Linked DNA regions of Oryzias latipes. The protein of the gene in region 2 interacts with the protein of the main gene of each other region in a pairwise test. Links are inferred from orthologs where the notes say so. Each region holds a gene or a part of one and is shown on either strand. Other genes may lie near its edges.

What was found.
Region 1: the proteins of diexf (region 2) and RUN and FYVE domain-containing protein 1 interact in binary tests that used the Homo sapiens proteins (3 or more experiments, as listed by UniProt). The link is inferred for Oryzias latipes from reciprocal best matches to the Homo sapiens genes UTP25 and RUFY1.

The regions. Positions count from the first base shown.
Region 1 is NC_019868.2:19,588,895-19,599,945, reverse strand, and holds RUN and FYVE domain-containing protein 1, read left to right. Parts: upstream 1-430; 5' UTR 431-464; coding exon 465-795; intron 796-998; coding exon 999-1,178; intron 1,179-1,265; coding exon 1,266-1,383; intron 1,384-1,913; coding exon 1,914-2,015; intron 2,016-2,099; coding exon 2,100-2,223; intron 2,224-2,296; coding exon 2,297-2,358; intron 2,359-2,433; coding exon 2,434-2,569; intron 2,570-2,704; coding exon 2,705-2,806; intron 2,807-2,887; coding exon 2,888-3,004; intron 3,005-3,389; coding exon 3,390-3,557; intron 3,558-3,628; coding exon 3,629-3,726; intron 3,727-3,795; coding exon 3,796-3,915; intron 3,916-4,293; coding exon 4,294-4,423; intron 4,424-6,163; coding exon 6,164-6,258; intron 6,259-6,352; coding exon 6,353-6,401; intron 6,402-6,497; coding exon 6,498-6,575; intron 6,576-6,656; coding exon 6,657-6,800; 3' UTR 6,801-7,785; downstream 7,786-11,051. Other genes in the region: hnrnph1 (heterogeneous nuclear ribonucleoprotein H), read right to left, coding at 8,310-8,407, 9,106-9,198, 9,353-9,436, 9,513-9,648, 9,750-9,862, 10,029-10,225, 10,885-11,023. UniProt on the Homo sapiens protein: Activating adapter involved in cargo sorting from early/recycling endosomes. Regulates retrieval of proteins from endosomes to the trans-Golgi network through interaction with the dynein-dynactin complex.
Region 2 is NC_019880.2:28,787,308-28,799,430, reverse strand, and holds the start of diexf (digestive organ expansion factor homolog), read right to left. Parts: upstream 11,477-12,123; 5' UTR 11,421-11,476; coding exon 11,320-11,420; intron 5,816-11,319; coding exon 5,776-5,815; intron 5,702-5,775; coding exon 5,530-5,701; intron 4,792-5,529; coding exon 4,558-4,791; intron 2,439-4,557; coding exon 2,350-2,438; intron 2,284-2,349; coding exon 1,879-2,283; intron 1-1,878. UniProt on the Homo sapiens protein: Component of the ribosomal small subunit processome for the biogenesis of ribosomes, functions in pre-ribosomal RNA (pre-rRNA) processing. Essential for embryonic development in part through the regulation of p53 pathway.

The DNA.
Region 1 (11,051 bases), on a different chromosome or scaffold from region 2:
GATTGAAATTAATGATCACGAACGTTTAAATAATGACAGCGGGTCTAGTTATATGTGATATCAATGTACCGTGAGCAATGAAATAACTATTGGTTTCCATTTGTGGCGACTGCTGACTGACATTAGGGATGAGATTAAATAGATCCTGGAAGTTAGCCTGGTCTGGAGCAGGCTAGCTCCACAGAATAAATCTCCATGGTAATTTATACCATAACATATCCTCCTGCCCCCTATCCGGCTTTAGTGCAACCGGATTGGGGATCAATTGAGCCAGGATCACCAAGATATCCTGGCTTAATCCCTTATCTTACTTTTGTGCAACAGGCCCCAGGATGTGGCGTCACATGGTGGATTTTTTTGTTTTTTGTTTTGTAAGTGAACATAGGAACAATAAAGTTTTTCCAACCTTTATTCCTTGGCCCGTCACGTGGTATCTTTCCGATAAGGGAGGAGGTGGGACAAACATGGCCGACCTGGCAGGGAACGTAAACACAGCCTGTGATGATGGTGTGGAAAATCAAGGAGAAGAACCCACCGTTTTAGATTCGGAGGCGTTCGAGGAGCTCAGCGACCGCGCAGAGCAGGACGCAGCCGGGAAGTCGCCCTCCGTGGCGGCAGAGAACAGCTGGTCGGCTCCTATCTTCTCTTTGGCGCGGAAGGCCAGTGAAACGATTAGCCATGGAATGAGCTACGCTGCTGCTCCCAGAAAGCTCTCACATGGATCATCTGCGAGCTCCTCCAACGAGAAGGAGTCCGAAAATGACACCAGCGGCTCTTCCAAGAAGATACTACCCGGTAGGCTGCAGCTGTATGAGCCAATTAAAACACTTTCCAAGAAGTTCACCTTGAAGTAGTTACTTCCTCTTGGAGACAAAGATTTCAGAGTTGGGTGCTAATCTGTTCTCTGAGGCAGTTAGTCCAGTTTGCTGTGGTTTGTTGCTTGTTTTATTTCCTCTTTTAATTTTAATTTCTGTCACGTTATTGCATTTTTTCTCCAGTTCTGCCACCTAAAGACCCCATGGGAATAGAAAGATCCAACCTGCTGAGCATGATGAAGCTGAGCATCAAAGTCCTCATCCAGTCCTCCCTGAGCCTGGGTAGGACTCTGGACTCGGAGTACCCTCCTCTGCAGCAGTTTTTTGTCGTCCTCGAGCAATGCCTTAAGCATGGTCTGAAAAGTACGCGGATCCCACTGTCATCTTTGTAATAATTTTGAAACGATTTCAACTAAAGAATATCACTTGATGGTCTTTTTTTTATTGCAGCCAAGAAATCCTTTATTGGTCAGAACAAGTCCATTTGGGGGCCTCTGGAGTTGGTTGAGAAGTTGTGTCCAGAGTCTGCCAACATTGCAACCAGTGCCAGAGATCTACCTGGCATTCGGTGCGTTGCTACTCACTATTTTAAACCATGAAGCCCCGCTCCAATCATCTTTTGATCTATTGTAAAAGCGTTCTCAGTGGTCCTGTAATCACGTTTATGCCCTTTTTAGCCAAAATCAAACAACCTGTGTCATTTTCTAGGACATAGATTCTCCAGAGTAGCTGTAGTTCATCTGAAATTCAACTCCGAGTTGTGAACCAGGCTTTTGGCTTGGAGTAAGCCTGCCTCATTTCCCATCATCCCTTTATTAACCCACTCTCCTGCTAGCTCACAACCCCAACCTAACATTACGGGTGAAATAAAAATGGCGAGCAATATTGGAGCTATCCAGCCATACAGTTTTAAGATGAATACCAGCTCAGATGAGGAAAACAAAAACATAAATGGATCTAGTTGTCTTCAAACTTTTTCAAATGCTATTTTGGTGTCACAACCATTTAAATAAAGACATACTCAGAAAGGCAATTGTCTATCACTACCAGGGGTGTTCCACTAATGTGACATTGTGTTCATTTCTCATTGTTTTCCAGAACGGGTTTAGGGAGAGGGCGGGCCTGGTTGCATTTGGCGCTCATGCAGAAAAAAATAGCAGACTACATTAAAGCTCTGTTGGACCACAAAGACCTCCTGAGGTGAAGTAAATGCATTGAATTTGACTCCTGTGTAAACATTTTGTTGATTATTTTTTTCTTTCTTCCTCATTTTGTAAATGTCAGTGAGTTTTATGACTCTGGAGCGATGATGTTAGAAGAAGAAGGCTCCGTATTGGGTGGTTTGCTTGTGGGCCTCAACGTCATTGATGCAAACCTCTGCATTAAAGGGGAGGACCTTGATTCTCAGGTGAGTGGTAAAACGTCCTTCTCCGTATTTATTATTTCCAAGCAATATGTTGATCTGTATCTCCTACATCAAGGTGGGAGTCATTGACTTTTCTCTTTACCTAAAAGATCCTGCAAGTTCTGAAACGCCAAAAGAGTAAGTGGATGCTTGTAAATGTTATCGGTACTTTATCAGTTTTCACTCCTGAGTTGTTTTCTTCTTTCCTTGCAGCGATGCTAACATGACAGCGATATTAGATCAGAAGCACTACATTGAGGAGTTGAACCGTCACCTAAGTGGAACCGTCACCGACCTTCAGGCTAAGTTGGACTCAATAGAGAAAACCAACAGCAAGCTTGTAGAGGAGGTCAGGTGCACTTGTATGTGCCGTTTGTTTCATTTCAAACAAGTCAAAAGAAGTGATTTTATTTTTATTTTTTTAAATTCTGACATTTATCTAAATGTAAACAGTTTTTTTTCTTTTCTGTGCTCTTGTCTTTAGCTCACAGCAGCAACAGACAGAATCAACTCTCTGCAGGATGAACAGGAACAGCTGAAGAAGGAAAATGAGTCAATTCTGCAGTGCAGCCAGAAGAAGGAAGAGGTCTGACTCAAACTACCAGCAGTTGGACTTTTGTCACATGAAGGAGGGAAAAGGCACTTAATAAAACGCGCGTGTTTCCAGGCAGCACTTCAGGACAGTCAGGTGGAGCTGGAGACCTACAAACAGACTCGACAAGGCCTGGATGAGATGTACAACGTTGTGTGGCAACAGTACAAAGAGGAGAAGCGAATTCGACAGGTGTGACCATTTTGGGTGGGCTTAAATGCTGTAACAATATATCTATTATATTTTATAGATATTATGTTTTTTCCAGGGTTTTTATTTTTATATACCAGTACTTTAGTTTTCCTTACATTTTAATCATTATTAACATAATTTTAAACTTCTAAATATGTCTTTAGCAGTGCTTACTTCCAACTTTTCTGTTTTATACTTGTTGTTGCAAAGTCATGCTCCTAGTGTTCCTGTCTTGTGTTTCTTTATCTGAACATTTATACGGGAAAATCCAAAGGAAGTTTTAATGTGGCTTCATGTTCAATTTGAGTTTTTTTTTTGAGTACCGGTATACGTTTTTGTGTTATGTCCCAAAGAAGGCAAAAGACTCAAACTAGTCTTCTGTTAGGAGCTGCAGCGTGAGCTGGAGCTCCAGGTGGGCTTGAAGCAGGAGATGGAGGTGGCCATGAAGCTGCTGGAGAAGGACTCCCACGAGAAACAGGACACGCTGGCGGCCTTACGGCTCCAGCTGGAGCAAGTCAAAACGCTCAATCTGCAGATGTTCCACAGAGCTCAGGTAGACGCAGAGGCGTGAACCGTCTCTGAACATGGCAGCACAGAATCTTACAAATTTGTGCGGCTCTTAAGGAATCGGAGAGACAAGCGGAGAAAAAGCAGGAGGAAGCGGTGAAGCTGGAGCAGAGGATGAAAGACATGGAGAAAGCCATGGAGGAAATGGAGCAGAGGTATTCAAACGTGTGTCTTTTGTGCATTAGGTCTTTCCATTAAAATCGGTGCTCCTTCTGATCTTTCAGACTGCAGAACTCTGAGTGTGAACGCAAGCAGAGTGACCAGTCGGATGAAGACATGAAAGTAGAACTGGAAGGAAAAGTAGATGCTTTGCAGACACAGCTGACAGACCTGGATACACTCAGGTGATTCACACAGTAAAAACAACTAAAACCATGTTTCATCTTTCTTACTTCAAACCATAGCTGCAGTAATGTGGAGACAAAATGAACCTCTTTAGACTGTTTCTTGTCATGGGATATGTTTTAAGAAACGATTTGAAACAAAGTTTTGTTGCAATTAGTTTGAAAATGTTTTAGCACGAACATTAAATACAGTTTTCTTGCATCGTTGCAGTGAAAAAACATGACATTTGTTTAAACGTCACCTAAATAAATGCAGCTGATTGTTTTGTTGTGTGGCTGTTAGCTGTGGTTCCTTTCACTGAGTTTTCAACCCATTTCAGTGGCTGCATGATTGAATGAAGTGAAATGTTGGAGTGACTGTGTTCCTCTGTGACGCAGGCTGGGTTTGGAAAATGAGCTGCGCACTGAGAGGGAGCAGAGGCAAAGCTTGCAGAAAGCCTTGCAGCGAGAGCAGGACAACAGCTCGGAGCTCCGCACGCAGCTGCAGCAGCTGCAGGGCCTGCATGTGGTCAGTAAACTAGGAGAAAACAACGTTTTCACCAAACTGTATTCGCCCTTAGCCAAGTGTCCACTTCTTATGGCATGAAAGAAGTGGAAAAAAAATGGGTTTTTTGAGCGTATGCAAATATCCGGATGGTTCCTTGTTAACATGCATTACTAGGGGTCCCATTCACGTTAAATAGTTGAAAAAATGACCAAAACTACGAGCATAAAGTAGCTACAGGTTCCACTGTATACTGCTTTTTATTGCATGTTATTTCACTTTACCCTTTTCGTTTTTTTGAAGACTATTTGCCTTTTGTGGTAGGAGCGTAACAACCAGAATTATTTCTATATACCGTATTTTCCGGACTATAAGTCGCACCAGCCCAAAAATGCATTTTAAAGTAGAAAAAAACACAGATAAGTCGCACTGGACTATAAGTCGCATTTTGACAGGAAATTTATTTGACAAAATCTGTGACCAAGAACTAATAACTTTCACAACCTTATATGACACAATCATAGCAGACTGTTTATCTAATAATTTCACAGTAATTTTTTCTCAAACTTATTTATTTATTCTTCATGAAGCATCATTGGCCAACTAATTCTCTGTTTTCATCCTGTATTTGTAGAAACAGTTGTCATTTTATTGCATTTCTGAATCTATGAAATCATTGGAAAATAGAATATTATGTTGTTAGCCTTCAAGATCTTACTGTAAAAAAAGTTTGCTGATTCTCTGAGTCACTTAACATACTTTTAACACTTAACATACCTCATACATCAAATTGACCCAGGAACATCATCTCTGTTCCTCACAAATGAACATAACAGGAGGGTTAACAATATATTTATTTCAATTTATTCCTAATATAAGTCGCTGCGGAGTATAAGTCGCACCCCTTGCCAAACTATGAAAAAAAGGGCGACTTATAGTCCGGAAAATACGGTAATTAAAAGATATCAGTGGATAAATAAATCTACTAATGCAAAAAACAAAACCTTTCAAAACAACTGTAACTTTAAATTAGTAAAAAGCAAAAAAGACCCATTCCAATGAAAATCATATTTGGGTGTTGTTGACATGTCATTGTAGCATTTTTGTCCTAATGGACATATATTAAAAAAAAAAAGATTACCGGTAATTATTTCTTTATTCAAATGGTTGTGAACCAGAAGCAGACACTAAGCTGCCGTTGGGAAAAGCTCGTAGGTGTGACAAAGAAGCTACAATTGACAGACCACAAACTCCCTGCTCCACTCCATTCTGAGGCATCCACCTGCAGATGCATAGATTCATAAATGTCTTTGTTTTCATTATCTGAGCTGGCATGTGGCTTAAAGCTGGACAGCTGGATAGCTCTGATATTGCTCACTATTTTTGTTGCACCGGTGATTTTAGGTCAGGGTTGTGAGGGGCTGTAAGCTAGCGGGAAAGAGTGTAAACAAAGGGATGATGGGAAATGAATGCTGGCTCACTCCCCCACATCGTAGAAGTGAATTTCTGATGAACTCCTGACGCTCTGCAGAAGCTATGTTCTTTAAAACGAATTTTATTTTTAAATTTAGGCTAAAAACAGCGTAATCATAATTAAAAAATCGATTAAAAGATAATTGGAGTGGGACTTGATAGTGTAAAATAGTAAGACTTCTTAGTCCTTTCTGCTGCTTTTAATACATACATTTTTATGTACATTACTGTTTTAATGGTTTAACAGCTGTTGTCAGGAAAAAGAAAGAACTAATGCATTATTTGTTGCAGGAGCTTCAGGAGTTGAAGCAAGAGAAGCAGCAGCTGCAGGAGAGGTGTGAGCAGCAGGAACAGGCCCTGCAGGAGATGGGACTGCATCTGAGTCAGTCAGTATCAGTCGTTTTTACTTCAAGAATCAAATATTTCATTTTTAAGTGCATAAATCCTCTCTTATTTTGCTTTTTTTGTGTGTGCTTAAAGGTCCAAACTTAAAATGGAAGACTTTAAAGAGGTCAACAAAGCCCTAAAGGTAAACTGAAGGAGTCACTTGTGTTACTAATGCATCCAATTTTTGTGGACGAATAGGAAAAAAAAAAAGAGTAAATGCCTGTGCTGACACCTCCAGGGCCACGCATGGCTGAAAGACGATGAAGCCACTCAATGCAAACAGTGTCAGAAGGAGTTCTCCATCGCCAGAAGAAAGGTCCGGGCTCTTTGTTGTTTTGAACTTCTTCAAAAATCTATTTAGATGTGAAAATAATACTAATAATGATTGTTTTTGCAGCACCACTGCAGAAACTGTGGAGACATCTACTGCAACAGCTGTTCCAGCAATGAGCTGGCCTTGCCCTCCTACCCTCGGCCTGTGCGGGTGTGCGACGTGTGCCACGCCCTCCTTCTGCAGAGAAGCTCTTCAACGGCTTCCTGACGACACACCACACCACAGACTTAGATGTAACGCTAAATAACAACCAATCACAAAGAACTAGAGAGCTTACGGTAAAGGAGAACTGTCAAACCTGATTTGCCGTTTCATTTTCTGAAATTCCCTTCATGTTTTGAAATCGATAAGCTCCACGTCTTTTCAACAACACTGACACCCTCACTATTCAGTGAAGTCCAAACACACAATCATGCTCCGGTTTTGTGTTGGTACACTACGGCAGTGCAGGAACGGCGCACAGCACCATCTGAACTCCAGTTTTGGGTTTATTTTTAAAGTGCAGACACAGAAACATGTTCACGTCACATTTTGTAAACGAAAGCAGCTCCAGTTCTATGGCTAAGAGGCTCGGGTTCAGGATCTGATGTCTTATTGTGGACTTGTTTAGCAAAACCAGAAGACCTGATCGCAAAACCAAATCTTTAAGACTGTTCGGATTCTGCTGATTAACTTTCATATCTACAAACCCTCATTTGGTGGGTTTCCAGTGACTAGTGTAGCTTTAGTTGATTATGAAGCCATTGGATATTCAAATATCCAGTTTATTTTGCTTACGACTTTCTAAACCTTTCTACAATGCAGATTACAAAAACTTTAAGGCTCGTCTTTCTGCATAAAAATGTATTAACTTGAGACTTAATATTTTATTAAACAGTTCTGATCAGGATGTAAGTTTGTGTAAATGACCGTGGAATGTCGACAGAAACTAACGTTGAATGTCTTTAGTTTTTGTGGCTCGTGATGACTACGATAAATCGGTTTCTATAGTTGGAGAATTTTGATTTAACATTTTTACCAATTTATTAAATAAACTTACAACTTGTTCTTTTTTCAATGACATATTCCGGAGTACTTTTATTCACTTTGTGCACAGAAAATACAAATAGAAATTTGAAGCAGTAAAAACCTCCATTGTAGCAAATTGGAAATTGGTTGCCCTGGATACAGCCTTCATTCACCAAAAAGAAAACAAACTGTAGAAAAGAAAGCACGCTCAGACCACACCAAAATTCACTTTGGGGTAACATTTTAACTGGAAATAAAAGACTAGAGGCAGACACAAAGTAAAATATCAAAAGGACAGTAGACATTTGCAGTTTCCCTGCTCATGCATAAAGACTTTGCATGGTGTGTTTCAGACCACCAACTCATCAAGTGTACTCTGTGAATTCCAGACTGGTGTTTGGGGATCAGCAAAGCAAAACAGCATAACTTTGGGTCGTAGAAATGAAAGCAAAGTTCTGTAAGGTGTTAAATCTGAGGAGCGGGTCGGTTAACACTTCAGACATTTCTGGTGGAAACGGGACGGTCCAGCTTCTCTTTGAAGGTCATTTTCTTATAAAAACAAAAAAACTACGCCCTCAACATTTTCAAAACCTCAACTGACTACAGAGTTTACAAGGCGAAGCTCGGAGTTTCAGTTCTTTTAGCAAAATGCTGACTTAAAGAAAAAAAAATCTAACAAGTGGAGAAAAAAACAAAAAAAAAAAATATCTACATTCCCCATCCCCCACCAAGTCCATTCATTGAGCCTCTGCTTCCTCCGCCTCCACCGCCACCATAGTAACTGCTTCCCATCCCGCCCTGGTTACCTAACAAGAAAGAGAAAATACACACTATTGGACCAAAGAGTTTATATGAGAGCGAGGTACCACCAAGCAAGAACACTTCTGCTTTGAATATTATGTTTGACCATAGACTGTATATGAGAACTGGACTGAGGAACCCCTCCCCCTTAGCATTCCAAACAGGAAGTGAATGCATTAGACTTCGATTGAAAAATAAACTGCTATTACTCAAGCATTATATCTTACATTTTCTTGCTAATCCTTTTTTTTTCCACGGTATTTTTTTCTGTAGTGCAAGTTGTTCAAGTTATAAACTGGCCAATCAGATGAAAGTAGGTGGTGCCTACTGGCCTCAACGTTGGACAGATTTCACACCAATCATTGCTTCCTGATGACGTAATATGTGGCAATGTCCGTATCGTGAAAAATAAGACATCTGAATTGACGTCATTTGGTTGGAGCCAGGAGTCGGCCATTTTTTACAGGTGACGTCACCATCACCAAGTCCAGTTCTATTATACAGTCAACGTGTTCAACAAATGTAGTGCTTAAAGTCACATATCAGATGTAGATTAGCTTGAATTGTTATTTTAGAAACTTCCTTTTGAGAATAAACCATTGGCTTAAAGACAAAATATATACTTCATGGTTTTAGCATTATTACATCACCCTTGAAATGTTTTAGGGTTAAGATCAGCACAAGAAAAAGAGATGACACTCACTGTAGTCATTGTAGCCGCCCATGTTTCCTTGGCTGCTGTACCCACCAGAGTACCCCGAACTTAGCTGACCCCCGCTGTAAGAGGACTGGTTTCCTGTGGACAAAAATAAAACACATCAGGTTTAAGGAGAAATTATTATAATCATGTATTCCCTTTAAGAAAAGGCTTAACTATCAATGTATTCTATCTTTGGTTAAGCATTTCCTTACAATCAAGAGGTCAAAATATCTTGGTTTCCATCACTTACCCATGCCACCCATCATCTGGCTGCCATAAGCTCCATTACTGCCACCTGCTGTTGAGTTTAGGAACAACTCCACATAACGGTGCTCTGCAAAGACAACCGTGCTTTAACTAAAAGGGTAATGAGTGATACGGTGCATTTGAAGCTACACAAACTAACTCACGCATGTTGGCTTTGTCTTTGGACATGGCTGCTACAGCATCTTCATGTGTTGCAAATTCTACATCCGCTTCCCCGGTTACTCTGCCGTCTGGACCAATCTCAATGTGGACGCGCACAGGATTCAACGGAGAGAAGAACTAAAGCACGGAAGTCAAAGTTTCCAAGTTGTTTTTTTTAAACAGAATCCAAAACAAACTTGTAACTGTAGTGGTTTGTTAGTGATGAGTTTCCATCTCACATTGTAGATGTCGGTCTCTGTGGCTCTGTATGGCAGGCCTCTCATGTGGACACAGTGACCTGTTGTGCTCTGGAAAGACGAGCCACTGTCGCCATAGCGTCCGTCTGACACACCTGCATATACAGTGAGATTAGCACAGTCTTCCAAGGACCTCACACCCTAATCCCATTAGTTCTATAATGCAGTGTTTGCATGAAAGGCCATCGGCTGAGAGATTTCAAACAGCTGCGCAGCTTTAGAGCACCAAGCCCAACATTAGCCTGCTCCGAGTCCACCCACCTCCTCCTCCTCCTCCTCCTCCTCCATAACCGCCACGGCGCATTCGGTCATAGGATGCCCCTCTGCCCATCATGTTGTAGCCGCGACCACCAGAGGGCCGGTCGTAGGGGCTGGGTCTCTGCATACCCATGGGCTTTCTCTGGGGTTCGTAGTGAGTCCGCACCTCAGCACGACAACTCTTGAAGATTTCAATGTACCTGAGTGCATAAAAGTATCACAATTAGGCCATGTGGAATGGATAGGAGCTGCATTTGCTTAAATCTGGTCTATGCAGTTGCTGTCATGTTGTAGTCCAATTATAGACATATCTAACATTACTAGATGCTTGGTGTTTAAGAAATGACAAGAACTCTATACAGTAAGCCTTGGTAACTTAGCTTTTCTTATGGTTACCTGAGGCAAATTAGAAATGGGATGCATATTACAGTTACAGCTTCCTTTGACCGTGACACAGCAGCCAGTGTCCTGGTTTAAGAAGGCTAAAGAGAGCGCTACCCACACTGCAACCCACTCTAAGCATTACCTGAGGCAGTGGGCTCCAGATCCTTGTGTACAGTGGCCCTGGGATTTTTACCACAAGGGAGATTCCTTACCGTGTATCAACCTGGACTCACATTTAGTGCTGAGACACCATTTGCTTTTTTTTTTAAATTATGTCAGCCAAATTAGGAATAGTCTGTTTTCGAATGGTGACAGAGCACTAACCTCCCCACTGAAAAGTGTGAATGTCGGGCAGGGTTTCTTTTAATGCAGTGTTTATGTTTAAAGGTGTGTTGTTTAAAAATGTGTGGCAGTTGTTGAAGGTGCACACCATAAGAAAAGCAACTTATCCAGCCAACCAACCAACCATCCCCACCTGTGCCCTATTCTTTCCTTGTGTTTCTTTAGAGCCTTTTCAGCTATATCCTGTGAAGCAAACTGCACGAAGGCCTCCCCCGTACTCCTCCCCTGGATGTCCACCGGCAATGTTATCCCATTTGGCACGATTTCCAACCCTTCAACCCAAGGACAGATAACCCCAGC
Region 2 (12,123 bases):
TGTTGACTCTTATTTAAGATAAACGGTTGCAGTGCAACCTTACTGGATACTATTAAAAATCGCTGTATGTTCCTCTGTTTTATGAGCTTAAACTTAGCGATGTGTAGGTGAAAAGGCAGCGGGGGTGGGAAGCGTCTCGTTTGTTTCACTTGTGTGCAAACGGTAGAGAGGACAAAAAAGGTTCACCAAAAGGATAGCAAATTAACATGACTATGTTTATGCAAACATTTACTCGCCCTGTGCCGACTAACCCTCCAACTTTTACTCGCTAAAGAAGAGAAAATCTTTGCAACTGGGGAGTGCTAATTTCGGACCCTTCAAAATAAATGTCTATCGCGATATATTTAATTAGAATTTTATCGCTCAGCCCTACCAGTGTGAGTCCTGTTGAAATGTCCAATTTTTCTCTTTTAAAGTCCCACCCGATCTATTGTGAAAGCATCCCCAGTGGTCTTTCATTCATGATTAAGCTGTTTTTAGCCTAAATTAAAACACGTTTTTAGTATTTTTTGGACACAGACGTGAATTGATCTAGTCATCTGCAAACAGGTGCATCAGGATAGAGTGAAGCAGGAAGATTGTGGCTATCCAGCATATTTTCTTCATCACAAATATAATCTTTTTAAAACTGAATTTTCAGAAAAGTGCAGGGAAAAAATTATTTTCATCTGAGTGGGTTTTTAGATAACACCTTAGCTCAGGGGTCGGGAACCTATGGCTCGCGAGCCATATATGGCTCTTTTGATGGTCACATGTGGCTCGCAGACAAATCTTTAATTATAGTTTTTTTTTTTTCATTAGACCAGTCCTTCTCGGGCGCGATGCGATGCCAGAGGCGCGCAGTAGTAGCAGTGCTTAGAGAGAGAAATCTGCGCCAGCGCTATCAGTTACTATTATCTATTATTTCACAGAGTTTGTACCAGCTGGAAACTTGTGAATTGACGTGCCTAAAACTGCGCGCTCCCGTCTCTGAGAAAGAGCGCGCAGATGCGGGGACAGGATGTGACTGAGAGGGAGAAAGCAGAGGGTGGGGGTGGGGGGACAGCAGGTGAATCGCGCAGGGATTATAAAAACGTAAAACCCGCTGCCCGTCACTCACTGCAGCGTGTGAGTGTGTGTTTGGCTCCCCGTCTGCATGTGAGCAGTCTTTCTCACATCTACAGAACATTCAGACCTACGATCACGTTTAAAGTTTCAACGCCTTAACGAAGCAGAAACTCACCACGGATCAACCAGACTAGACCATCAGCAAAACTACCACGAGAAATACTCATCATTTATTAGCAACAGCATAACTATGTTATTAAAAAGAATCCACAGACTTATTGTACTTTAAAAATGTTGAAATTAAATCAAATGCACACATTCATTTGTATATTTAGTTTTAAACAAATTGTCGCGGACTGAGTTGGATGGCTGTTGGGCCGCGTTAAAAGTTCTGGAGTTCATTGAACGCGTCAAGCAGAGATCTGATTGGCTCTCAGTTCTGTCGCTCAGCCTGTTGTTAGGTAGTTTGGACCAATGGGGTTCAGCTATGGGCCGAATAAGGGAAATGGGAGGGCTGCAGCGGTAGCAGGGGAATATAAAGTTGGGAGAAGCGCTCTCTCTCGTCTCGGCGGGAGAGATTCAGGAGTTGCTGAATTAATTGTACGGCGTTTGTTGCGGTCTGCAGTAATCGGAATAAAGAACTTTAAAAGGTTAAGTCTCCGTGCCTCAGTGTGGGGAAGGGACACTACATTATTGTATGGCTCTTTCGAAATTACATTTCAAAATATGTGGCATTTATGGCTCTCTTGGCCAAAAAGGTTCCCGACCCCTGCCTTAGCTGTTAATCAGTCATGTATGAAAACAAGAACTGCTTGGTTATGGCTGGGTTACCTTGGGCCTGGTCAGTCCCTGGTCTCTGTGTTCTTCTTGGCACTCAACTGTAGATTTTGTTTTCCGCTCCCTCACCTGCGCATTGTGCAACAGTACTTGAGAGTTGGCCCTCAGAACGTGGTTAAGCACATGGAGGCAGTATGCACTTCGGACCTGAGGACCCAGCTTAAGTGGACAGGTCTCTGAGTAACACAAATCCTTGTAGGAGGCCATGAGGGTCAGTAACTCCAGCTGGAGAGGGCTGATCTCCTCGGGTGTTTCTTTAGGGTCGGATAGTTGGTTCAGATCCTTCCAGCTGGTTTTCAAAAATGGGTGGAAAACGGGGAGATTTCTATCTTTCTGCAGGTCAACTTGCCCAAACTTCTCAAGGAAAGTGGTGCAGAGAAGCGTTCCCATTCTTGCCAACTAATTCAGAAAAAAAGACAAAACTGTAAGCAGAGTTTAGCAAAAAATAAAGTACTCATTCCATACCGTAGTTTGTGTTTTTGATTTGCTGTCAGATATTATCTTCTGCACATCTTCTTCAGTGAGCTCTGTGTACAAATGCTGCTGGAACATATCTACAGATAACAGTCAAAACATTTGTAATTATAACAGAAATTAAGATCTACATTAAAAATGCATTTTTGTTAGGGGTGTAACGATTCATTTTAACAATGATTTGATTCATATAATAATGTGGTTTTTGATACAATTCATAGTCGACATTAGTTCATTTTGAACGATCCGATTCACTGACTTAAAATCGATCCAGGAAATCTTTAGCCAAGACTTCAACCAATGTGTCACAAGAGATAAATACCTGGGTACTGAACAGTGCAGGGGAAATTTTCCAGATTCCTTGCATTTCTTGTAGGATAATCAAGTGTAAAAAAAAGTGTACAAACAAGTAAACAAGACCTAATGGCAGAACCATTTACATTTGAGTTTCATAAGTTCAGCCCACTAATGATTATCCACATATAAATAATACAAACGGTACATTCTACCACACTGAATTGTCACGTCTTTGCAAAATTCAGTGTTTCCATACATTGGACTGTAATGATGGCTTGATCATTAATGCTCCCATCACGTGTGTGTTGTCCGCTGTGATGGCACTTGGTTGTTTTTTTAATTAAACATGTTTAAAATATCCAATAAATTTTGTTCAATTGAAGGTTGTGTCCCACTTGTTCATTCTTCACAAAAAATTACAGTTTATATCTTTATGTTTGATGCCTGGCAAAAGGTTGAAAAGTTCAAGGGGGACGAATACTTTCGCAAGGCACTGTATTATTTTGATATAAATTTATAACAATACAGGTCAATTTGACTCAATTAACAACTTGTCTCAGACAAATTAATATGGTTAGATTGATGCAGGGGTTCTCAGTACATCGATCGCGATCGACCGGTCGATCTTCAAGGACATGAGGGTAGATCCAGGAGAGAGAAGATTAAAAAAAAAAAAGCACTTCTTAAAAATCCACCAGCCAATCAAAATCCTCACCGAGAAGTACGGGACTTGATTGACATGCAGAACGGCCAATCGGACATCCTCTGATACATACGTCACTGCAGACGCCTGTTTAAATTCACTGAGCGCATAAATTCACTGAGCGCAAACTGTCATGAGAAAGTCGTTTTCTGCCCCGCGGCACATCTTGTCCCCGGCAGGAGAGCTCTCCGGACAACCGGAGTGTTTATTGAAGTCGCCCCGCGTTTCTCCTCTTGCTATCAGCTCTGCAGTTCTCGGCCGATAAATACGAGCTCATTAAGGAAGCTGTTTTATCAGAGGCACGCGCGTACGGAGCCAGCAGCGCATTAAATGCCACGCTCTTCCTATTGCACGATTTTCAGCAGAGCATGTCATACGATGGTTGCTGCTTTCTGTCTTTGTCATAAAACGCCTAATCTGTTAATACAAAAGTATCTGTGTAATCTCACTGTGTAGTTTTTTAATCATCAGTACATAAACAATAATGTTCAAATAAACAACTAATGTGACTAATAAACATTTACTAATAGTATATATATATATATATATATATATATATATATATATGCATGCATATCTTATAGGTAGATCTTCAAGACATTGTCGATTCAATGTCATTTACTAATAGTATTTATTAAAAAAAAAAAAAAACAAAAAAACGCCCCTCTCACCCTCCGCATGTGGTTTCTCCTCCAAGCTCGAGTCCTCTACCAGAGGCCTGGGAGCTTGAGGGTCCTGCGCAGTATCTTAGCTGTTCCTAGCACTGCGCTTTTCTGGACTGAGAGGTCTGAGGTCTTTCCAGGTATCTGTTGTAGCCACTCCTCCAGCTTGGGGGTTACTGCCCCAAGTGCTCCAATTACCACAGGCACCACTGTCACCTTCACTTTCCATGCTTTCTCCAGTTCTTCTCTGAGTCCCTGGTATGTATGTATGTATGTATGTATGTATGTATATATGTATGTATGTATGTATGTATATATGTATATATGTGTGTGTATATATATATATATATATATATATATATATATATATATATATATATATATATATGCATGAATATCTTTTAGGTAGATCTTCAAGACATTGTCGATTCAAAAGTAGCTCACACACCAAAAAAGTGTGAGCACCCCTGTGTTAATGAATAATTACACCCCTAACACATAACCATAATATATATTGGCCCTATCGTAGATTCTGACCTTTGCCGTTTTCCTCCTGCGTGAAGTTTCCGGCTTCACACTGCTCTTTTCTGTTCAGGAAGTTGGTATCTAGGGAAAACTCCAACTCTTGCCCCTTGTCAACAAACTCTTCTTCTTTAGCCTCGTTTTGGTACTTGCAATCTCCATTCTCAGCTTCTCTATTGGCAAGTTCCTCCAGCTCTTTCACATCTTCTTCATCATTATTACTTTCATCCTCAGCTTCATCATTGACTTCTGTAATACATTAAAAACAAAATGCTAATTAAAGTCCCTCTCCAACTACATTTTTTTATATCGTAAAATTGTTCCCAGTGCTCTTTTAATTATGATTATGTAGATTTTAGCCAGAATCAAAAAGCCTGTGTTGTTTTTTAAATACATTTTCTGCACATCGGCAGGAGCTCATTATAAATTGGCCTCTGAATTGAGGGCAGGACAGATGGTGTGAAGGAATCCAACCCCCTTCCCCACCCAGTCGCTGAGAGCTTGGTTTGCTTGCTCCATCGCAAGCTTATACCCAAGCTAACATTACTGGCACAAAACTGATGAGCAATATAAAGCTATCCAGCAGTGCAGTTTAGAGCCAGATGCCATCTTAGACAAGGACAACTGTACGACAAGATAAATCCAATATTGCTTGCAGTTTTTGTTGCACCAGTAACGTAAGGTTGAGGGTGTGAGGGGCTGTAAGCTAGTGGGAGAGAGTGTAAACAGATGTGTGACAGGAAGAGGCCGTGGGCTTGTTCTGTGACAACAGTTCCATCCAAAACTCAAAGGTAAATTTCTAATGAACTGCTGCTGCTCTGTAAAAAGCATGTCCTAGAAAACAACCCAGTTTTTTAGATTTTGGTTTAAAAAAATAGCATAATCATAATTAAAACACCACTGATAATGTTTTTACAATAAATCACAAGATTTCTTTCGTGGGACTTTAAGGCTAAATATCATCCAAACAAGCCTTTATACAATAACCTTTACTTAGAATTTCCTCTTCATCCTCTGAGCTTTCCTCCTCTGCATGAGGTGTGCATTGGTTCATTGTTGAAAGTAGCTTCTGATAGGGCGTTTTCTTTTCTGGTTCCTTGTCTTCTTGCCCATCTTCCTGCTCTTCTGGGTCTACGGGTGAATGTTCTGGGCTAGGTGGCTGAAGCAGACACAGAAGTGTAAATGAGGAAACTAGAGTTCAGAAAGGATAACAAGTGGAAAAGCAAAACTCACCAGTTCTACTATTTCCATCCTTTCAGATCCTTCGGTAACTCTATGAAAAAAAACAGAAAAGATAAAGACGCAATCAGAGAATCGTTTGCATTGCAGTTACTAATATCCATGTCCGTGCAAACATATTTTATTTTCTGGTAGTTTTAGGTCAGCAGACTGCAGATTTTCCAGCTACATTTTTTAAACTTGTCCTGTTGAACAGCTAAGTAGACAGATGAGAGGTGAAAGCCTCTTGTGTTGGACATATTTTACTGTTACAATAGGGGTTATGAAATGTTTGACACACTAGGTGAATATTCTAGAGAATTATTAGTCATAAATAGATTATATACATTTTTGATAGGATAATTTAGGCTAAACTTTATTCATCTTACTCATATCTGTAACAGTGTTTTGTTGGACTGGACGGCAAAGAAAAGAAGGGAAGAAGAGAGAGGGGTGCCCTTGGGGGGGGGGGGGGGTATTAAAGTGGAGGGGGGGGTCAGCAGCATAAGGCAACAAGTTGTTGGATGTTTGCAATCATTCCATTCAGGTTGATAAGTAATATAAATCCAAAAGGGATTCATTTCATTTCCTTAAAAAAAAACCCTCAGTGTTTGTGAAATGTTGTTTAGTTTAGTTTAGGACCATCTTGACTTTATTTCTTTATGGTCTTTGACTTTATTATTTAAACAAAAAAACTTTTTCTTCTTTTTAAATTTCAAACATGTTTCTTTTCTTTAACCTGTCCACACACACACACCCAAATGCCACAAACATACAGTGGTGGACAAAATTGTTGGTACCCCTCAGTTAAAGAAAGAAAGTCCACAATGCTTACTGAAATGACTTGAAATGTTCAAAAGTAACAATACATTAAAATTGAGTTGATTATCAGAATTATTTAAAAAAACTAACTAATCAAATAGAGCTGGACAAAACTGACGGTACCCACTACTTAATATTTTGTTGCACAACCTTTTGAGGCAATCACTGCAATTAAAGGGTTTATGTATTTGTCAATGAGCCTTCTGCACCTGTCCACAGGTATTTTGGACTACTCCTCATGAGCAAACTGCTCCAGTTGTCTCAGGTTTGACGGGTGTCTTCTCCAAATGGCATGTTTCAGCTCCTTCCACTGATGTTCAATGGGATTCAGATCTGGGCTCATAGGAGGCCACTTCAGAATAGTCCAACGCTTTTCTCTCAGCCATTCTTGGGGTTTTTTGGCTGTGTGTTTTGGATCGTTGTCCTGTTGGAAGACCCATGACCTGCCACTGAGAACAAGCTTTCAGACACTAGGCAGCACATTTCTACCCATAATGCCTTGATAATCTAGAGATTTCATTTGACCTTTACAACTTCAAGACACCCTGTTCCAGATGCAGCAAAGCAGCCCCAAAACAGAACTGAGCCTCCTCCATGTTTTCACAGTAGGGACAGTGTTCTTTTGGTCGTATGCTTCACCAAAAAGCTCCAGTTTTGTCTCATCTGTCCAAAGGACGGTTTCCCAGAAGCTTTGTGGCTTGTTAAGATGCATTTTTGCAAATTCCAGTCTCGCTTTTTTATGATTTCCTTTCAATAGTGGTGTCCTCCTTGGTCATCTCCCATGAAGCTTTTAACTGTAATGAAACTCAAATCTGCATCCCATTTTGTTATCGGATTGAAATATTATCTAGATTGCATAAGATTGTTCATATATTTTGGAGGTTTTATTCATTGAAAGAAATAATCAGATACAACTGGTTCTTGTAGTTCTAGGTAATTGTCTTTGTATTTAAATGTTTTAGTAATTATAGATTTAAGTTGTTTATATTTCAAGAAGTTATTTATTCCATGTTTGTCTTGAAGTTCCTGGGATGTTATGAATCTTCTATCAATAATTAATTGCTCTAGTAGTGTTACGCCCCCTGCTTGCCAAGCTGGGAAGTGTAACTTTTTTTGTTAATAAGGATGTCTCAGTTGTTTCAGATTAGGGTTGTGCCGATGGACAATATCATCGTCCATCGTGATGGGTGACTGACATCCCGATGGAGAGACCACCATCGTGATGCCACGCCCCCGCCCCGTTGCGCGTCGACACCATAAGCCGTGGTTACATGTACAAAATATCTTGATGGGATCAATGGTCGGATTAGAATCCAACCGTGTACATGGGCCCAGAAGAATGTTTTTAGAATATAAAAACGTTCACTAAGGTCACACTTTCCGTCGGAATAAATCATTCGCACATGCGCAGTAGGGTTTGAAAAACGGAGGGATATAAACTCCGCCGAGCGGCTTTTTTTCTTCAAACTTTATTGTATGTAACAATTCAATACAAAACAATGTTAAACAGCGCCGAGCGGCTATATACATTGACATGTCAGCTCGGTAAAATACGAGACGATCTTCTAAACGTGCTTTTAATAATGTTACGGTTATTATGAAACACCTGTTCGCTCATCATTTGAATTTTAATCCGTGTGGTCAGTGCTTTTTCTGAACGAAGCCAGGATTAGCAGTATGCTAACACGGGCTAACAACATTAGCTTTGGGTGGTGCTGCTTGCTGGCTGCACGTAAACATGTAAGAATAACATCAGCCTTTATTTAGTCGGGACACGACTGGAAACACAAATCCGCGTGATTGTTTGAATGTTTTCTAAGGACTGAGCGACATTTCTGCTTTGAAGCTCAAACCGCTGTGTTTCTGCTGACGATCCGAGCTGTGCACAGACACACACTTTTAGACCCGGTTCTGAGTTCGGTAGGTAGTACCCCTAGAGCTGCGGGACGGATCGCAGTCTTAAATCTCCCACACATACCGCTCATGTACCCCCCCCCCTTCCCATCAAACACAAAGCTGTAAGTCCGCACTCCCCCGGAAGTGCGGGTGCGGACTACTTCTTTTCTATTTTGTTTGTTACTTTTTTTGTCAAAGTCACTTCCCTCAGTTTATACTGGATCATCACGGATTAGTCATCAGTTGGGAAATAAAATGAAAAAAGCAAAAAAACGAATAGCAGTTATATAAGAACGAAAAATGTAAAAATACCCCCCCCCCCCCCCCCCCGACGATGTCATCGTCCATCCCGATGGTTGACAGCAAACATCGTCAACGGCCAATTTAATGGACATCGCCCAACCCTATTTCAGATGGTTGTCATTTTGCATGGTAAAAGTAACTTTAACTAGTAAACTGAACTGCACATAGAACTAGTAAATAGTTCTATGTGCAGTTCACATTTTTCCATTCCTGTGACTAAAATTTAATTAGTATACAGATCATTCAGATAGGCCAACAAATAAAGTTATGGCATTTTAAGTGATCACATGTAGGGCATATTTTATTTCTAAAATATAAAGGAAAACAACACAATTTGTGTGACCGGAATCAAAGATGAGTGTTCTTAGTGTCATAACTTCCCAATCCAAAAAAGGGAGGCATCTTTGCAAAGCCAGTCAAAAGAACTACAACAATTAAAGTTGATTTCAAATACATTTTTATTTCTGTATTATCAAATAATAATCAATTAGTAAAATAATCAAGAAATGGTACAGATCAATTTGAACTTACACTGATGCTGTAGGGCAGAATATACACCAACATCTTCGCATGACTAAGCCTGCACAATAAATTTCAAATTTATCGTTATCACGATATTAAGTTGTGCAATACGGATATCGCAAAAGATGGTGAAAATTGCAATAAATCGTTACAGTCTTATGACAGCTTGAAGTATTTAACGAATCAAATAAATCCCTTCATGTATTTGATCAATTGGATGGAGCTCTTTTATGTTAGATGTTGGCCTCATTTGTAGACTAGGGTTAACTCTTAAATTAAACTGTTGCAGTGAAATGGAAATTTGGTTTTTGGTTGTTTTGCTATTGTTCATGTATTGCAAGTAATATCGTCATTGCAATATTGATCACTAATATCGCCTATCTCGAGTTTTCCTTATTACATGCAGCCCTAAGTATTACATATCATGTTTATGAAATTATTTAGCTTAAAAAACATTTTTAAAGCAGACATCTTATTTACACTGGATATTTTTTTATTTTATTTTAAGTTACCAACATAAAGAGAAAGTCAGAAAAACATGAAAATAATATCTACAAAGTCCGCAAAAATATGATACCAAAGGGTAGAAATACATGAAATATTTTTTAAAAAGTCATGATTGATACATCCATCCATCTCCCTTCGCTTATCCGGGACCGGGTCCTAGGGGCAGCAGTCTTAGCAAAGACGCACAGACTTCCCTCGCCCCTGCCACTAACTACAGCTACTCTAGGGGGGACCATGAGGCATTCCTAGGCCAGCCGAGAGACGTAGTCTCTCCAGCGGATCCTGGGTCTTCCCCGGGCCCTACGCCCAGTGGGACATTCCCGGAACACCTCCCCAGAGAGGCGTCCAGGAGACATCCGGACTAGATGCCCAAGCCACCTCAACTGGCTCCTCTTGATGTGGAGGAATTGTGGTTCTACAACGAGCTCTTTGCGGGTGACCGAGCTTCTCATCCTATCTCTAAGGGAGCGCCCAGCCACCCTACGGAGGAAGCTCATTTCAACTGCTTGTATTCGAGACCTCATTCTTTTTGTCATGACCCAGAGCTCATGGCCATAGGCGAGTATTGGAACAAAGATCGACCGGTAAATTGAGAGCTTTGCTTTTGGGCTCAGCTCTCTCTTCACCACAACGGACCGATACGGCAACCACATAACTCTGGATGCAGCCCGCTCTGCCCATCAATCTCATGCTCCAAGATATTAAAACTCCTCCACCTGGGGCAAGGACACTTCACCCAGCAAGAGATGGCAAACTACCTTTCTCTGGTCAAGAACCATGGCCTCAGATTTAGCGGTCCTGACCCTCATTCCAGCCACTTCACACTCGGACGCAAACAGCCCCAATGCATGGCTCGATGAAGCCAACAGGACATCATCTGCAGAGAGCAGAGAGGAAATTCTGCGGTGCCCAAACCAGCCGGCCAGTCAGCTTACCCAAAACCTGTCATGTGACCTCATGTTCAAGCTTGCACTGCTTGCCAACGAAAAACACAGTACCTGTTTACTTTTTTATCTCATTAAATTTGCAGAAGGTGGAGAACACGACAGCAAAAATCGACTAGTATCAAAATCAGACACCAACTAACTTAAAAGCTGACGAGAGGTTTTGTGAACCGAAATTTCCGTCCGGAAAAATTCCTACGTCGTTACACGAGTTAAAATTTGAGAAGCAGGTCAAAAACAAATTTTATTACAAGATGTGCTCGACTTTATGCTACCTACTGATGACAAGCGATGTTTATTCAAAGAAAGTCAACGCTGCAGCCTCGCGCACAAGCTCGGATCGCTAGTTTGCCAGATACTTCCGGTGGCTAATCTACTCATACGAGCATGGTCAAAAAAATAAATGGGAAAAATGTTTCTCCAAGAAATACATTGAAATCTTAATTAAATAGATAAATACGAGCTGTTAGCAGAACTTGTTTAATAAAACATACATTATTCTTGATAACCCTCAAGTCTGTATATGTCTTAACATTTGTAAAACTAAAAAGGAAACAGCGCTTACACATCGTGGAATGGGTGCTCCTCTCCAAATTCCTTCAAGTGTTTCTTCTGCTTTTTGGACAGTTTCGTAAAGAAGTTATTTTTCTGTCTTCGCTTCGTCATGTTGTGCTTTTGAGCCACGTGTGGAGGAAGGACTTCTTCTATGGTAAAGATAAGAAGCGACTCTATCGCCACCTACAGTTGCGGAGTATTTTTTTTTTTAGTTAGAAATGATGCACATAGAAATAGCAACATCATACAAATAGATATCAAAGAAACAAAGTCAGGAGGTGTTACAAATATTCAGACACAGAGTAAAGTAATAATATATTGGTGGTTTTCAAGGCCTTTTTCTTACTAGCATGACTTATTTGTGACATGTAACAACAATGTCATTTTAAAAGTGCTTCAAAACGGTCTTTGTTGACTTTGTTTGGATTTCTGGATTTCACATCCACATTTTTTGTGGATGTGAAAATTTGCCATTAGGATTAATATGTTTATATAAAAAATGTGTCTTCTTATTTTAAGATAAAATCCTTGTGCAGATGATCAAAACCCTAGTGTGTGAACAGATCGAGAAGAGGTGATGTAGAGACTCTGGGTGGTTTCCTCATAGGAATACCTTGCAACAATGTTCCTATTGAATTTGGACATGAAATTGTTAACAGGGTAAAACTTATGTAAAATTTTGAAAGAAACTTTGTCTGTTATTAACCCTTGTGCTATCTTAGGCACTTTAATATTGGGAGTTGGGTCTTCTAGACCACTAGATAGTGAGCTAAACCTTTTTTCTACAATTATTTGTGAACCTCACTGGTGCCCA